Linked DNA regions of Schizosaccharomyces pombe. The protein of the gene in region 2 interacts with the protein of the main gene of each other region in a pairwise test. Each region holds a gene or a part of one and is shown on either strand. Other genes may lie near its edges.

Region 1 (4,228 bases), on a different chromosome or scaffold from region 2:
GCTCTCTATATGACAACTTTAACCGTGAGAGCAGTCAAAGTACGTTTCTTCTACGAGTGTTTCTTATTGAAAGTATAAAGTATTCTGGGTAAACAGCAAACTGTGGGATGAATAACCAGCATCGTGAAAGTGGCCAGTTTGGGGAGTTTTTCATAAACTTAGCGTATATGCCGGTAACCATGTTATAAACAGGCACATTACTTGACGGGAAATCGTTCCACGAGTCCCCAAGTGAAAGAAATGTAAATATAATAAGCGAAATTGTCGTGGGCATCAGTACTATACAAAAGTTGAGGTTTTAGCTCAGACAACTTTTTACCTACTAAACCAAACCTGGTTATGAGCAACAGACCCTTATTATAACATTAGCAATCAACAACAAAAATTTTTATAGTATTGATTTTTGATATCTTGCGTTCGTTCCGCTTTATCGGAAAGACTTTGGCAATTTTACCGATTCTCTAGAATCATGTAAAGTGACGAAAACAGAAGGCAGAAAGTCCAACCAAATATGGGCAAAAAAAACAACCACTTCAATAAATTGTTCCAGTTAACAGCAGTTTAGTTGTGTTCAAGTCAATTACCAGCGTTTCGCGTGAAACGTTACAGAAGTGTAAATAATGAAATACTGTTGCTTTCTCTTTGACTCTCATTCTTACACAAGGTCACTTTGCATAGTAGACCGTTGAAAAAGTAAAAAGGAATAGAGGAGAAAACAAGATTTGATTAATTTTTAACCACACCCAACGTATCCGCAAAATCTCATTGATTCAGTAACATTGACTATATGGTTCTTTCGGTAAGTTTGACTCGTTATTAAATAAAAAAAATAGAGGCAAATTGTTTGAATTATGTTTGCTATCAAATGATATCCATTGAGTTAAAAAGTACGCGATTTGATAGTCTCATGAAGACACACATAAAGAGAGAAAAATCCATCAACTCCACTTAAATTTAAAAAAAGGTGAGGTACATATAGAAACTTTAGTACAATTCGTATTGATCGCCTAAATCAATATTTTTGAAGTATTGAAAGTTCAAACATGCCTTACAGCTCATTTCTCATTACTTTGTAAGGTAGCTGGCTAATGACAACTATATATAGGCATTGAGCCATAAGTATGCTAACTTTCACTATTCATCGCTTGGCAAATCTTTTTCTTTATTAAATGTATCTCCTATAAACGTGGCACTACTTTTTTGAAAGTTATAAAGCACGTTGGGAGCTAATTTCAACTTTATAAACTTCGCAAAAAGTGAAAGAAAACACAAAGGTATAGATAGTTACAAGCCGCATTGCTAAGTTGATCTGATAATTCTTAACATCTAACGTAATCGAGTGTGTCGGAATAGTATTTATGAAAACTGTGAGATATCCCACTGAAAATGATTTATGTTGTCAAAAGCATCGTTAATACACTTAAGAATTACGCATTTCCTCGTGTGCCTTATTCGCAATAATTCTACTGTGTTGCTCACACTAATGCTAACAAGTACGGAATCCTAACTTAGGTGACCTAGCGTAATACTAGCTTCATTTACCAGTTGTTGTAATGCGTGCATTGATTTTCTTTCATACATTCTTGCAAGTAAATTTCCAAGTAATTTGAGGATTTATTTATTAAATTATTTCTCAAAGCTGCGAGAGCTTTTGGATTCATTCGAACAGAATTCATATGTCCATTATATCCATACAACTCGTACTCAACACCACTTCACACATCTGAGTGGAAAGTTGTTTATTATTTTCCAAAAATGGCCCTTTTATCCGAAGAACTTTCTAGGTAAACTTATATTTTTTTCTCAAATTCACTAACAACGCCGCAGTATACTTCCAAATCCTGATTTCGACGATGAAGAGGAAGATTATGTGGAGAGGGAAACATCACATGCAGATGAAAGACAAATTGGTGTCAAATTTCACATTCCTCCCTATGGACAAAGAAAGGGATGGTTTCCTTCTTCACCTGAAGACTTTGGCGATGGTGGAGCTTTTCCCGAAATCCATGTAGCACAATATCCTTTGGATATGGGCAGAAAAAGGTCAGCTAAATCTGCTGGTAATACATTGGCTCTACAGGTCACTTCTTCGGGCGCTGTTGACTATAATGCCATTGCTCGACAAGGTCACGAACATGGAGAGTTGGTACAGGCAAGCTTTCGAGATTTGATCCCCTTACGTGCACGACTAGGTGTGGGAGAAATTTCGTTAGAGAAACCGTCTGACGAGCAAAAGCAAGAAGTAGCGAATAAAACTAAGCTTGCCTTACAAAAAATACTTTCCAAACAAATCGCTCAGTCTCAACCTAAAAGTGCTGTGGTACAACAACGTGACGATCCTGTATACATTCGATATACTCCTAGCAATCAAATGGGACAAGCACTTAGCAAACAGAGGATTATCAAAATGGTCACAGCTGAACAGGATCCCATGGAACCACCAAAATTCCGTCACAAAAAGGTTCCTCGTGGACCACCTTCTCCTCCTCCTCCCGTCTTGCATTCTCCTCCACGAAAAGTTTCTGCTCAAGAACAACAAGATTGGCAAATACCTCCGAGTATTTCTAATTGGAAAAATCCGAAAGGCTACACTATTCCATTGGATAAGCGGCTGGCCGCTGATGGTCGTGGTCTTAATGATGTTGAAATCAACGATGGATTTGCCAAATTTTCTGAAGCATTGTACACGGTGGAGCGTCAAGCTCGTGAAGAGGTCCGATATCGTGCCATAATGCGCCAAAAGATGGCTGAAAAGGAAAAGCAGGAAAAGGAGCAACGTTTATTTATGCTTGCTCAAAAAGCAAGGGAAGATCGTATGGGTAGAAATGCGGCTTCTTCGGGTCCTTCACATGCAAAACCCCGCTCTACTTCTGTCTCCTCTGAAGAAAGAAGTCGTTCCAGAGCTGGATCGTTCTCGCATCATTCAGAGTCAGAAAATGAAGATGAGGATTCAGAAGCTTTTCGCCGTCGTCAAGAACTTCGCCGCGAGCGAAGACGCCAAGCTGAAAAGGATCTTCGTCTCAGTCGAATGGGTGCTGAAAAACGTGCTAAGCTTGCTGAAAAAGATCGACCTCGTGATGTCGCTGAAAGGGTTGCTTTAGGACTTTCAAAACCATCAATGTCAAGCGATACAATGATCGATAGTAGATTATTTAATCAGGCTTCTGGCTTAGGATCCGGATTTCAAGACGAAGACAGTTACAATGTGTATGATAAACCGTGGCGGGCGGCACCTTCATCAACGTTATATAGACCGGGTGCTACTTTGTCCCGTCAAGTTGATGCATCTGCAGAATTGGAACGTATTACTAGTGAAAGTCGTTATGATGTACTAGGAAATGCGCATAAAAAGTTCAAAGGATCGGATGAAGTCGTAGAGGTATGTTTCAATATCTTATACTTTTACTTAAATACTAACTTTTCTTAGTCTCGTGCTGGCCCCGTCACTTTCGAGAAAGATATTGCTGATCCTTTTGGTGTAGATACTTTTTTGAATAATGTTTCTTCAAAGAAAACTTAATTCTATTCGATCCTTGACACTGTCAAAGAAAATGTACATTATTGTATGGTTTTATTCATTGGAATATGACTGTCTTAAAAATAAAAAAAAGTACAATTTACGTTTTGTGTTTTTTTTGGATCAAGGCAGTTAATTCAACAGAAGTTCATATTTAGTCTTAAAAATTAATGTTTATTCTTCTAATGATTAAAGAGCTAGTAAATTTGAGCATCGTTTTTATTTGTATTCTTGTTTCAACTCTGGTAAACCAGGATTATGAAAGTATTTTGGTACAAGATGTGAAAAAGAATTAAAAGTCTTCTATGTAGATAATTTAATTTGTATATTTAAAAATTTTTGATGAGGCATATTTATTTATTTATCTGTGCTTTTTATCACTGGACATTCGGTTGTTTGTTTATATTTCGCTGATAAACGCTGTTTGAAACAAACCTGAACCTACTAAAGAGCAAAATACAGATAGTTCGAGAAATAAATTTTTACGATGTCTTTGACTGAAAACCTTCAATTATTATTAAATTTGGATAGTCTACCATCCAAAAGGTATGTTATCGTTACAATCTAGTCATAAATTCATAAATCATTCATTAACAAATATACCACAGAGAAAATTTAATAAAAAGAAAAGAATGTGGTTTAACAATCATGCTTTGCGGAGCCTCAGGTACTGGAAAAACAACGTTCTTCAATACTCTTTTTGCTACTTCT
Region 2 (6,665 bases):
TAAAGGAAGTTTTACTGAGCAAGATACGGCAAAGTTTCTATGGCAGATTTTGTGTGGATTGGAGTATTGTCATAAACTTCATATCTGCCACCGGGATTTAAAGCCAGAGAACTTATACTTGGATGCCCATGGTTCTATCAAAATCGGTGAATTCGGTATGGCGTCTATTCAACAGCCAGGAAAGCTTTTGCAGACTTCCTGCGGGTCTCCCCATTACGCATCCCCAGAAATTATTATGGGGCGTTCATATGATGGTTGTGCTAGCGATATTTGGTCATGTGGAATTATATTTTTTGCTTTGTTAACAGGGAAATTACCGTTTGATGATGACAACATTCGTTCTTTGTTGCTAAAAGTCTGTCAGGGTCAATTTGAAATGCCATCAAATATCTCTCCTCAAGCCCAACATCTGTTGTACCGCATGCTTGATGTTGATTCATCTACTCGAATTACCATGGAACAAATTCGTGAACACCCGTTTCTTAGTTGCTTTGTTCATCCCAATATTTCTATTCCAATCATATCAGCCCCTATACAACCCATTGATCCATTAATAGTGCAGCATCTCTCTTTAGTTTTCAGATGTTCCGATGATCCTATGCCCTTGTATGAAAAATTGGCATCTCAATCACCCTTGGTTGAAAAAACTCTATATACTCTACTGAGCAGACACTTGCATCCGCCTTCCAGCGCTGCAGTTGATCGCAACCGCGCTGTGGTCGATGATCTCCTTGGTACAGCAGCATCCAACGGGCAGCAAATGGACGAGGAAGAAATTGAACAAGCTATCAATATTCCTACTTTAGCGCCTTATCCAATTTCTTATGCTGCAGAGTCTGTTCCTCGACCTGCTACTTCTGCATCGCCATTTCTTACACCTGTTACCACTTCTGGCACTTTTAATTACTCTTTTAATGCTACCAACCCCCAATCCATACTTCAACGACCAGCCACTACATCTTCTGCTGTTCCTCAACTCCCAAAATCAGTTACCCCAGGACTTGCATATCCCCACGATAGTTCAATGCTGTCATCAAATTACCGACCTCCTTCTGCATTATCTCCTCGCAACTTTAACGTTTCTATAAACGATCCGGAAGTTCAACTAAGTCGTCGCGCTACTTCACTGGATATGTCAAATGATTTTCGTATGAATGAGAATGACCCTAGTATTGTTGGTAATTTAGCAGCTTCCAATTTCCCGACAGGTATGGGACCTCCAAGAAAGCGTGTCACTTCTAGAATGTCCGAACACACTGGTAATCGAGTCGTAAGCTTCCCGCGCGGCAGTGCTTTTAATCCAAGAGTTACTCGCTTCAACGTAGGAAATGAACAATTCTCTAATAATATTGATAATAATAACTATAATCAACCATACGCAAATGCAACCATGAACAACTCTCGTCGTCTTCGTACCCCTAGTGGGGAGAGATCAATGCGTGCTGATCTCTCTCAATCACCAGCCTCTTATGATTCGTTGAATGTTCCCAAACATAGAAGAAGACAATCGTTATTCTCTCCTTCTTCTACAAAGAAAAAGCTTTCCGGCTCACCTTTTCAACCAAAACGATCATTTTTAAGGAGATTATTTAGTAGTGAGCCTTCTTGTAAATGCGTCTATGCCAGCTTGGTTGCTTCAGAATTGGAACATGAAATTTTAGAAGTTCTTAGAAGATGGCAGCTTCTTGGTATCGGCATTGCTGATATTATATATGATTCTGTGAGTGCTTCGATATCTGCTCGTATTAAACGACAAAATTCACTTAATCTTAAACCGGTTCGGTTTAGAATATCGGTACTGGCTGAGTTTTTTGGTTCACAAGCTGTCTTTGTGTTGGAAAGCGGTTCTTCTACAACTTTTGACCATTTGGCTACAGAATTCCAGCTGATTTTTGAAGATAAGGGGTTTTTGGATAATTTGGAACTCTCTTATTTTCAAGCTTCGGCATCCAGACCTGTTTCTCGAATGAGTGTAAGTAGTAGTCCTTTTGCTGTATTTCGTCAACGACAATCCGTCCAAAGTTAAATTCTTTTATTATTATTATTATCATTTTTTTTTGATTCTCCAAAACCTTTGCAAACTTCATTTTTCTCGTGATGCTTTGGAAAAAAAAGGATTATCAAAAAAGCTAATCGTTTGATAATTGAACATAATGTATACTCGTGGAAGTATTGGAACTTTTTGAATTAAGCTTTCATTTTGTCCCATATTGGAACTCTTTTTATACACCAACAATATCTTTATAGACCTCCATTCTTTTTCTGATGTTTTTCTTTTACTTGTTCAACTTGCTATATGGAACCACGGTTATCCGGGAAGCAATAAATGCATTTAATGATTAAATTATATTTTGCTGCTCTGCTACAATGTTTCTCTTGGAACCTGTTGAGTTTTGTACATGTGATGTTGTACTTGGAACTTACTCCAATGATAATAACTTGCATGTCTGAAGCAAGGTAATTTTTGTATTTAGTATGACCGGCTATTGCTGGCATCTTTTTTGAAATACATTTTTCTTATTTAATTTAGGTATAAAATTTTTTATCTTAATCAATCTTTTCTTTTGGCTTTCTAACTCTTCGTTCTAAATCACAATCTTTTTAGTCTCGTTTATTTCAATCGATTTGACTTTTTCTTCATCTTATTTATCACAATCAACTAGCACTAGCGGATACAATTTCAATGAACTGCAGCATAGGTCGTATTATGTTTAGAAATTTATGACCCTTCTGCTTGTTCTGTATAAATTAAATTTATTCCAATTAAGTATTTGGTCGCTCAATGCTAATTAGTATGATATTAAATTTGAGTGGAATTCAATATGTAACCTGCTTACTTCGATAGTTGAAGAAATACATTTGAAGTTGTAGGATATCTAGGTTATCTGCATTGTACAAAGAGTCTGTTTTTTTGGAATGAAGTACGTGACATATTATTAAGCACTTTTAAAATTGTCTGTGCAATTGCCTTTTCAGTATTTTTAGCGAGGTTGCAACTTCAACTTATTACTTGAACAAGCAGCGAAAAACTGCAAGAAAATCGTGTAAAAACTAGTAAATACCATGGCTAATGTAGAGTTACAAACAAGTTTGGTAAGATCTTTTCCAAGCTCAAGCATTTAACATTTTTTAGGGAAAAATTCTTATTGAATTGTATACAGAACATGCTCCTAAAGTACGCATCAAGAATAAAGGACGAACAGTGTTGTTTGCTTTGAAAGTAGAATCGCTAACTTATAGACATGTCAAAATTTCTATACTTTAGCAAAAGAAGGATACTATGATGGTGTTATTGTAAGTTTTTTTCGCACTGTTTGCATCGTGCAAATAAGCATGTTGAAATATGAGTCTACAATTTAATATTTCAAGTGTGTTATTTTATTGATTTAACTGTTCACATTTACATGATGGACTCAGTCAGTCATATAAATATGTGTCCTATAATTCATTCAATATCGTATTTGATTTAATTCGTGAAATTGGTACTAATTAAATTAGTTTCACAGAGTTATTCCAGACTTTGTAATTCAAGGAGGGGATCCCACAGGTACAGGTCGAGGTGGAACTTCTATATATGGGTAGGCAAAGCTTTATAAATCGGCATTCACCGATTGTTTGCATCTTTATTACGAAGTTTTCACATTCTTATTAATTGATTAGGGATAAATTTGACGATGAGATTCATTCCGATTTACATCACACTGGAGCTGGCATTTTATCAATGGCCAATGCTGGACCTAACACAAATTCATCACAGGTATGATGACTTTGTTTACACTAACTTTAACCATCTTCAGTTTTTTATCACTCTAGCACCTACTCCTTGGTTAGACGGAAAACATACAATTTTTGGTCGTGTTGTTAGCGGGCTTTCTGTGTGCAAGCGTATGGGTCTTATCCGAACGGATTCATCTGACCGCCCAATTGAACCTTTAAAAATCATTAAAGCTGTTGCACTTTAAATTATTCTTTAAAGGATATTCAAAGGTTTTAATCTATAAGTCTTTTTTCGATTTTTCAACACATCCTGAAGATATTGACTAAAGTTATTTGTCACGGATATTAAAAGCTAAATTAATAGTTGATAAAGAGAAGCATTTCCTTACAAAAGGTGGACTTTTTAATTGAAGTCAAATTTTACAAGTCAAGTGGAATAACATAAGCTTCTAAGAAGGAATTAACTAGTTTTCTAGCTTAAGAAATTGGAGATGGATTTTGTTACGCATATCAACCTAGTTGTTTGACCATAAACGATTGAACAAAAACCTTTTACAACGTTAGCATTGCTTCCGGTACTTTTCTCCTTATCAAAAATTTTACAATTGTATTTTTTTCTTAATTAGAAGATTAAAGCTCGGGCCAAATATACAACTACAAGAGTTTATTGGACTAGATTACTCAAATACTATTGCTTCAGTTTTTTTGTTACAACGTGGGATGTTATTTTAAAAAAAATTCAGAATCAAAATAAAGTCCAATGCATAAAAACGGCATGAATCCTTCTCTTTTTTATTTAATTCTTCTTTTAATTGTTTACGCCAATTTGTGTGATCCATAATTAGCAAATTATTTTACGTGTTTTAACGTATTACGTTATAATTGTAATTAAGCAAATAAATGATATTTGTCAATTGAAGGTTCGAATGTAGTGGTCACGGAATACTCACAAGCATGATAATAATGTTTTTTAAGGTCCTAATATATCTAATTGACCTTTCACAGCTAGACATATCAACATATGACCAAAACTTAGCTTCATTCCTCAAGCGGGAAACATTCATTAACTGAAATTGTCCATGAGAAAGACTTTTTCTATTGAAAGATAAGTTTGAAAAGGCTACAAACTTTAAATACTTTTAATAAAGTAATTTTATTAACTAACTATTCCTTTGCTTACTTATAGATTTAAGATACTAAGCCACAGTTACGCAAAATTGGATAATGAACTTTAGTGACATAGGTTTTACACTGAGTAGTTGACTTTGGAGCGTGTTATTTACATGCAATTTCCTAACACGTTTCGCCTGGAGCATGGCACTTTTAAAAACGATGCCAATCATAAGGTCTCTAACGCGTGGAAAATCGATTAGATTACTTCAAAAACAATCAACGAAAAGAACTAATCCGTGCGTCTATTTAGAAGCAAAAGCTGTTGAACAAACACCGGCTACTGAGTTTAACAGTATACTTCAGGAAATAATTTCGACAGAATACAATTACTCTGTTGATTTAAAGAAAACATTAAATGTAACGATTACTATAGCAAATATTATGCTCGTGTTTACTAGTTTGTGATTACTTACATTTTAGGAAATTATAATGCCAATCGAAGGCCAAAGTATGGAAAGGGAGGCGATTGGAATTTGCACGTGCTTTAAGACTTTAAATCAGTTACACACGAAGTTATATCAACAAATGATTTCCAGTGGCTCTCCAGTATATTCATTGTCGCAATCTTTACCCGCTTTTCGTGATGTTTACCACATGTATACCATCAATTTAAGTGGAATATCTGCCATTGAAAAAATAATTTCTGATCCTTCTTCGTGCAACAGTCAGCTTTTAATTCCATTGCAACACTTGTTGAGATATCCTATACATTTAGCACGTGTTTGTAAAATGTTACGGAAATATCCATTTTTGAATGGAGATTTTCGGATGGCGGTCAAAACACTTGACGATTTTCGAGAGTTATGTTCTTATATAGACCAAGAAAAAGCCCGCGAGGAAAGTTATCAAGTACTTAGTGCACTGTGTGGAAACCAGGGTGTTGCGGTGGACATTCCAAGGCATATAAAATTTAAAGGGTCAGTTATTCCAGCTACTTCATTTATTTATGATTTTAATGCCTGCGTCTTTTGCGACGATGGATTGGTTGTTTGGACGAGGTATGTTAAAAAAATCGAAATGAAGGCCGTTTCGATAGAACAATGTCTTCGAGTAGATGAACTTTCAAACTCTATTTTAGTTTGTACTTTAAATATGAAGGGGAAGCTTTTAAACCGTCATTTGGCACCTCAAACTATGGCTGCTTCTGTTTTTCTTAAGTGGTATCATGAAAGAGCTGGTATCTCAAATGGCAAAGAAAATAAATTAAACCGATTGAAAGTTGTCAATGCTAAAACATAAACTAATTTCTTTCTTTTTCTTTTTTTAATATTAAACGATATTTTTTTTCTATTATTCACTCGTTACCTAAAATTTGCTGAACATAATGACAAATATGTTAAACCAAAATTTATTGTCAACTTACTTCTTCATTCTTGTTATCCTTGTCTTACCAACTTTGAAAGATATTTTCCTCAATTAAAAATTTACTTCTCACCTTCGTTACCTTAATATGGGCATTATTATTAACCAAATAGTTTAAATAATATCTTTATCCTTTAATAATATTTATTGGTAATTCTTGTTTACAATTCCTCGTCTTTTTATTGAAGTGAGAGTCTACTATATATGAGTTTAATAACTAGCTACACAAGTTAGCAAAATAATATTGTAGTTCGTCTTACTGGGAAAGACATACATGTGCATAATGAGAATAAACCTTAAAACAAGCAACAAATAAAACTAGTCCTCTTCGTCTGCATTGTCATCTTCGAAAAGAGTTGAGTACGAGGTAGCGTTTGAAAGTGACCTGCCTTTACATTTCTCTAAATGTGCAG

Evidence for each region.
Region 1: the proteins of cyp1 (region 2) and prp45 interact in a two-hybrid assay, tested with the Schizosaccharomyces pombe proteins (2 studies listed by BioGRID).

Annotation. Positions count from the first base shown.
Region 1 is NC_003421.2:1,500,937-1,505,164, forward strand, and holds prp45 (Prp19 complex subunit Prp45), read left to right. Parts: upstream 1-1,706; 5' UTR 1,707-1,755; coding exon 1,756-1,784; exon of another isoform or gene 1,785-1,827; coding exon 1,828-3,379; intron 3,380-3,427; coding exon 3,428-3,520; 3' UTR 3,521-3,728; downstream 3,729-4,228. Other genes in the region: SPOM_SPCC188.14 (uncharacterized protein), read right to left, coding at 35-274; septin Spn6, read left to right, coding at 4,005-4,063, 4,126-4,228. UniProt on the Schizosaccharomyces pombe protein: Involved in pre-mRNA splicing.
Region 2 is NC_003424.3:1,365,148-1,371,812, forward strand, and holds cyp1 (cyclophilin family peptidyl-prolyl cis-trans isomerase Cyp1), read left to right. Parts: upstream 1-3,012; 5' UTR 3,013-3,063; coding exon 3,064-3,093; exon of another isoform or gene 3,094-3,133; coding exon 3,134-3,175; exon of another isoform or gene 3,176-3,240; coding exon 3,241-3,294; intron 3,295-3,364; exon of another isoform or gene 3,365-3,498; coding exon 3,499-3,578; exon of another isoform or gene 3,579-3,660; coding exon 3,661-3,757; exon of another isoform or gene 3,758-3,797; coding exon 3,798-3,962; 3' UTR 3,963-4,427; downstream 4,428-6,665. Other genes in the region: serine/threonine protein kinase Cdr2, read left to right, coding at 1-2,026; mug10 (Rho guanine nucleotide exchange factor), read left to right, coding at 5,032-5,247, 5,311-6,129; SAGA complex deubiquitinating submodule subunit Sgf11, read right to left, coding at 6,571-6,665.